Callithrix jacchus: one gene and its partner. The protein of the gene in region 1 interacts with the protein of each later gene in a biochemical or structural test. Links are inferred from orthologs where the notes say so. Each region holds a gene or a part of one and is shown in the gene's direction. Other genes may lie near its edges.

Region 1 (3,520 bases):
TATAACTATGTGATTATTTTTATTGTGTTAATTAACTCTAACTTGAGATCACCTATATCATTAAAGATCTAAAAACGGTACTGATGTTCACTGCTTTGAGACAGAAAGCCCAGGAGTACTACCAGGAAAACACAATGTATCCACAGTTAGTGATCACACATTGATTACTTTCAGTTTATTCTAGATAGATCTGTAGCGAAACCTCTCATTTTGTAATACTAAAAGACAAAATGAAAGTAACCTTGACAGGATGGGTGTTTATGTCATTGCAGTTGTGTAACAGGTGCTCAGTTTGGTATATGTAAGACTGTTAACAGTCAGGGACAGCACTTTATCGAATAACCTCATCTGATGTGAAGTCAGTGTCAATACTTAAAGCACAATGTTTGAAGCAATTTAGTGAGTATTCAGCCTTTTTAGAGGTCAACAGTGATAGCGATCTATGTATTCTATGCTGTTTCACCACTCACAAGCCTTCTTATCATCTCTTCTTGTTGTTGAGATTTATTTTGAAGTTTTTCAAACCTTCAGTCTCACCCAAGAGTTCTCATTTACCAATTTGATGAACACAGTTAAGCACTCCAATACTTTTACTAAAGCATGATTTTCAAACATTTGTTGTATTTACCTAAAGGGTAACAAAAAAGCTATCATCAAAAATTGTGACAAAATTACTAGTGAAATCTAAAGTTCTGCAGCACAGATAAATTTCAAAGCCTACACAGAGGGCTGCCAAGTACAGCATTGTCACAAATCAGAGATCTGAGTAGGTGGAGTTTAGACATAGGAAGCTGTGAGGTAGGACTCTCAGGAAGGAAAAAGTACTTTCTTTTATAAATGAAGATAAAATTGCTGAAATAGTCTTACTACTGTTTGTTCGTTTGCTACTTGTGTTTTCAGATCTGACTTTTTAAAGAAACAAGGCATTTTGGTAGTACTTACCCTGTATCTCACTTACTGACAGACACTGTATCTGTTTAATTCAGCAGAAGAGCAACTTAGATATTCTTAACTGATTCAAAACTGCTATTACTGCAAAATGCTGATCTCCAGACTTTAACGTTTGACTCTGCATTTGACGTTGTGCTAATGCTCTAGGTCATTTGAGAGTCCGTGTGTATGTTACTCTCATTTTATTGGTATATATAATTTAAAATGAAACTCTTTTCTCTTTCAGTGCATTTGAAACGCCACTTTATGTTTCGAAACCATCTCTGTTTAGTTTTTGAAATGCTGTCCTACAACCTCTATGATTTGTTGAGAAACACCAATTTCCGAGGGGTCTCTTTGAATCTAACACGAAAGTTTGCGCAGCAGATGTGCACTGCACTGCTTTTCCTTGCGACTCCAGAACTTAGTATCATTCACTGTGACCTAAAACCTGAAAATATCCTTCTTTGTAACCCCAAACGCAGTGCAATCAAGATCGTTGACTTTGGCAGTTCTTGTCAATTGGGGCAGAGGGTAAGTATTATTTCAGAACCTGTGAATTAAATAGAAGTAAGTAGAACAGTGTAGGTATTAGGTTGGTGCAAAAGTAATTGTGGTTTGTGCCATTACTTTTAATGGCATTACTTTTTAAATGGAAAAAACCGAAATTATTTTTGCTCCTACCTAATAGATATTTGAAATGTTAATGAGGTGTATACCATTTAGAGACAATTACAGGATGGTTATTTATCTTTAAAATGTAGCAGTTAATTATGTTGATACCTGTTTTGGAGAAATACCTTTTAAAATGCAAATAGCAATACTTTGACTCAAAAGACATTGATTTTTTTTGAAATAGGTATATTTAAAATAATTATGTATTTAAAATATGTATGCTAAAAGATGAAGGGAAGAGAATAGGACATGGAATGATTAAATATTAGGGGATTTGTAACTTTCCCAAGTAAAGGTTTTAGTGTAAGTTTTGGGACTTTTCAGTACTGGAACATTGAATCCTTGCTGTAAAATATTTCTCTAAAGATTTATCAAGATAAATCTTTTTCCTCAAAAACTGATGGTTCAGAAAAATGCAGGTAATTTTGATTAGTCATGCTACTAAAGCACAGAAAATTTAGTTGATAGACTTGTTTTGATAAATAAATTTGTCTTATTTTCTCCACTATTAAAAATTTACATAAATTCTACCACATCTAAAGTGATTTTTTTTAGACTGCTAGAAACAGATGTATTCGTAGCGATGATAGTATGTTTAGCTGATTTAGGAAAGCAGTTTTTCCTATCATTCTTAACAGCAGTATGAAAACTACTCTAACAGTATTGTTTCATATATCAAATAGAAGTTACAGGTGTCTCCTCTTTAAAGGGATTGCTACCATCATTTGATAATATTTTACTGATTTTTAACACTGTTCCTTTTGCTTGAAAGTGTTGAAACTATATTTCTTTTGTTTTAAAGGAAAACCCAACTAACATACAGATGTTAATTTTTTATAGTGACTTTTCTGTTTCTTATTTTTCCAAATTATTGAAATTTTCTGTACTGTCCTACTTTTGTCCAAGTTTTAACTGTAACATTAATTTAATCTGTTTAGCCAGTAGGACTGTCTTTTTGTTACTTTCTGCAGCTTCTCTTATGGTGGTGATGCTATTGACTGTTGAAGTAATTTTTAAAAATTGGAGTAGGAAGCAAAGTTTGCAGTTTTAGATGCCTTCAAAAAATCAAGAGATGCTTGTAGTTAATATGGGATAGCGTATATTGTGAATGAAAAATGCCCATCTTGCGAGTAATTTGAATAGATTTTAGAGTTGGGGCATTTTCCCCCTATTTAAGCCAAATTGTATATTTTGTCCTAATATTAAACATTATTATTTCTGTCTAGTCAAAATGAGCCAGTTATCCCTATAATAAATTTTCAACTATTCAGATTCATTGGAATCACATGGGAAGTTATGTCTAAAATAGGCATGCAGTGGCCCCACCTGTGGATCTACTGGATTAGAATCAGAAGGTGGTAGGGCCAGTGTGTTTTGGAATCTAACTGCTTTAAACAAGTTAGATAGGGATGTGACAGAGTTTTTGGCATAAGCTGTGAAATACAAGTCTCAGGAGTGGTGGTGAGTCTTTGGGCCTAGGGAATAGCAATGGTTATTGGCTTATAAAAAACTCAGAAGTGTAGTACCTCTTCCCAGTTCTTTAAGTTAGACTTTCTTCTTACAGTTCCTAAAGGTTGATTGACCTGCCTGTGTAGGCCTGAGATTGTTCTTGATGACTTGGCTGGAGGTTTCAGTGGGAGCCACAGAAAACTTCATGAGCTTTCTGGCTGCATGGTTAGGGTATAAGTTAGGAAATTTCATTAGGAGGATTTTATTTCTTTCTCCCTTTTGATAAGTGAAACAAATTGGTCTCTGAAGACGTCCTTGCATTACTTCATTGAAAATAGTCCATTTCAGGATTGTCTTTCTCTAAGAAGTCTTGGATGGAGGTGGAGAGAGAGGAAGCTATTGATCAGAGACAGCTGTTACTTGAATCTTTATGTGGCATTGTCTCTGGAATTTATCTGCGAGACAG
Region 2 (3,520 bases), on another chromosome or scaffold:
TTATTGTGGATCTTTACCAAATACACTCACCATTCCATCTTCCAGTTGGAAGTTCATAAACAAATGTACATAACATGTTACATAACAAATGTACATAAACAAATGTTCATAAACAAATTTCCCTTTGAGCCAGGTTGAGTTTGACAGTAAAGACTAGAAGTTAATGGTGAGCTAAAATTGACTCTAAGAAAAAGTGATCAGAACTAGGTGGGACTTTCTCATCAATGGTGCCTACTTTTTTTCCTGTCACAGTGGTTTGGGCTCTTGAGCGGTCATTCGACATACCTTTATGTGTAAACATAATGAGCCATTGTTGAGTTTGGAGTTGGTGACAGTTATGTACCATTGGATTTTTAAGTGAGCATTAGTTTGTTTAATGAAATTGCATGGGGTATTTCATATTTCTGGCCCCTGAGCACCAAATATCCTCAGCACTTAAGTCATTTCGGCAGCCAAAACCATCCCTATTCATTTTCAAAGACCTCAGGGGTTTCAGGGAAAGGTGTAGTTGGCTTGGCAGATAGTGCACTTACGTAGTTGGAGTCAAGAATGCAGGATTTGAGTCAGAAAACCTGTAATCAAATCTTGTCTCTGTCTCCTACTGGCTTTGTAGTGTTGAGTGTAACCACCCCTTTGAGTCTGGGCCTCCTTGTCTGCCAGGGGATGGTTGGACTAGATGCCCTCTCAAGGCAATCATTTTTGATTCTGCAGTTTAGTATAATAGTGTCAAGACTCATGTCACTGGCTAGGCACGGTGGCTCATGTCTGTAATCCCAGCACTTTGGGAGGCTGAGGTGGGAGGATCACTTGAGCCCAGGAGTTCAAGACCAGCCTGGGCAACATGTGAGACCTTGTCTCTACAAAACATGAACAAAATTAGCTGTGCATGGTGGTGCATGTCTCTAATCCCAGCTACTTCAGAGGCTGAGGTGAAAGGATCACTTGAGTCTGGCAGATGGAGGCGGCATTGAGTTGTGGTCGCACCACTGCACTCCAGCCTGGGCAACAGAGGAAGAACTTGTCTTAAAAAAAAAAAAGACTGGGCCGGGCACGGTGGCTCAAGCCTGTAATCCCAGCACTTTGGGAGGCCGAGGCGGGTGGATCACGAGGTCAAGAGAACGAGACCATCCTGGTCCACATGATGAAACTCCGTCTCTACTAAAAATACAAAAAATTAGCTGGGCATGGTGGCACGTGCCTATAATCCCAGTTACTCAGGAGGCTGAGACAGGAGAATTGCCTGAACCCAGGAGGTGGAGGTTGCGATGAGCCAAGACTGCACCATTGTACTCCAGCCTGGGTAACAAGAGCGAAACTCCGTCTCGGAAAAAAAAAAAAAGACTGTCACTTACCAGGGATTTAATGTATTTGCTATACTGCTCACAAATGCTTATATGTCTCAACTTTGGCATGTTACAGGTTCAGCTTGTTGGTTTAGATGAAGAGAGTTCGGAGTTTATTTGCAGAAACACCTTTGACCACCCATATCCCACCACAAAGCTCATGTGGATCCCTGACACAAAAGGCGTCTATCCAGACCTACTGGCAACAAGCGGCGACTATCTCCGTGTGTGGAGGGTAAGCGGATGCTTTATTAGCAGCCAGACAAGTGGGCTTTCTCAGCCTCAGCTGTTAGCAGTGAGGAGTCACAGAACAGACCAGTGGGAGGCATCGAGTGTCATTGCTGCACGGGAGAAATAAGCGAAGCCTGAGTAGACTGACCTTGTTTGGCTCAGCAGATTTTCTAGTAAATCAAGTCAAGAGTCCATGAAGTCTGGCTGCTGACTGCAGTCAGTTCAGTCAACCCAATGTGACAATGACAGCCTTCGGTGGAGGTGGGAATACTTGGGAACTCATATTCTGTTTGCAGCCAAGATGTTTTTGAGTAAAGTAACAAATACCAGGGCATCGATTCTGATGAAATGTGTGAGTGGATTTTGGAGGATTCCCTCCGCCCTCACCTGAGCTCAGCAGCAGCAGCGTTCTCTGTAGCATGAGTGCGGCCTTAGTCCACGTGTGCAGAGATTCCAGGTTGGGCAAGGTGAGAAGACCTCTCCCCTAGGAAGATGCAGGGATGAAAATGTAGAAAACAAAGCTGGGCAGAGGAGAAAGTATGGGGAAAAGTAGCATTCAGGGAGTCCTGGGTTTGTTACTGTTTTTGATAAAAATGTTTTCCCTCACGTTATATGTTTGTTAGGATATTCTCTAAACAGGGATTTTTAAAAAGACTTTTTATGAGGATAAGACTGGCTAATTAAAAAAAATTTCTTGTTCCTTCAGGTTGGTGAAACAGAGACCAGGCTGGAGTGTTTGCTAAACAATAATAAGAACTCTGATTTCTGTGCTCCCCTGACCTCCTTTGACTGGAATGAGGTGGATCCTTATCTTTTAGGTAAGAGAGTTAGGGAGTAGTATTTCAGCTGGAAGAAGCCAAAATACATTTTCTCAGATGTCACACTGGTCCTTGTATCATCCTACAACAAGGCCAAGTGAGAAGTAGGCTTGGTGTAGAATGTGGTTATGTATTAACTCCTTCCATGTGGGCGAGCTTTACATGTGTGTAGCTCTTGTCTCTCCACTTAGAATCTAAGGTCCTATGGTGAGGATTGAATTCTCCACTTAGAATCTATGATCCTACAGTGAGGATTGAGTATTTGACTCTGTGGCTCTGCAGGTACCCCCCACATTGTATTCTGTAGTCTTTATGGTATGTTGCTTTCTGGGCCTAGCGATGAGTAGACACAGGAGGGAAGCTTGCCTGAGAACCTTGCTCCTCTTAGCCCTGACTCGCACTGGTTGTTTGCAGGTACCTCAAGCATTGATACGACGTGCACCATCTGGGGGCTGGAGACAGGGCAGGTGTTAGGGCGAGTGAATCTTGTGTCTGGCCACGTGAAGACCCAGCTGATCGCCCATGACAAAGAGGTAATGATGCTTTTCCATTTGTCTTTCCTCAAATGCTTCCTGTGCCTTTAGCACAGGAAGAGGTCAGATTGTTTTCTCATTGTTCTGCACTTTATGTAGAAAATCGTAACACAACATCTTCTTATATAAATTGACAATAGTAATGCGTCAAAAACGGGAAGACAACACTATTGTAATTTGGCTAATGTAAATGACTTATTTTTTTGGCTAATGTAAATGACTTATTTTAAGGTCTGTCATGGTTCATGCCAGAGATGCTTTTTTAAAATAATAAAGTCTCTTGTAGAGGAATTGGGAACTGATGTGATTAAAAAAATAACCTTAGGGTATTACTTACCTTGAAACAGATTAGATTTGGGGAGAAAGGAAGGGAGACAGGAAGAGAAAAAATTTTCTGAGAGACAAACCTAATTATCCATTTTTCTCTATAAATGTTTTATGAAGTTCTAGTATGTTCACTTAATCTTTATACTTTTATTACTGTTGGCAATGGAATATATTTTCCTTTGATGGTGATGTTTCTGTGTTCATTGGGAAAACTGAGGAGAGCTATTTGTGATTGCATTTTTTTTTTTTTGAGATGGAGTTTTGCTCT

The links.
Region 2: the proteins of DYRK1A (region 1) and DCAF7 form a complex in vitro, tested with the Homo sapiens proteins (2 studies listed by BioGRID). The link is inferred for Callithrix jacchus from reciprocal best matches to the Homo sapiens genes DYRK1A and DCAF7.

The regions. Positions count from the first base shown.
Region 1 is NC_133522.1:43,454,648-43,458,167, forward strand, and holds part of DYRK1A (dual specificity tyrosine-phosphorylation-regulated kinase 1A), read left to right. Parts: intron 1-1,177; coding exon 1,178-1,464; intron 1,465-3,520. UniProt on the Homo sapiens protein: Dual-specificity kinase which possesses both serine/threonine and tyrosine kinase activities. Exhibits a substrate preference for proline at position P+1 and arginine at position P-3.
Region 2 is NC_133506.1:88,856,287-88,859,806, forward strand, and holds part of DCAF7 (DDB1- and CUL4-associated factor 7), read left to right. Parts: intron 1-1,419; coding exon 1,420-1,578; intron 1,579-2,280; coding exon 2,281-2,392; intron 2,393-2,806; coding exon 2,807-2,925; intron 2,926-3,520. UniProt on the Homo sapiens protein: Involved in craniofacial development. Acts upstream of the EDN1 pathway and is required for formation of the upper jaw equivalent, the palatoquadrate. The activity required for EDN1 pathway function differs between the first and second arches.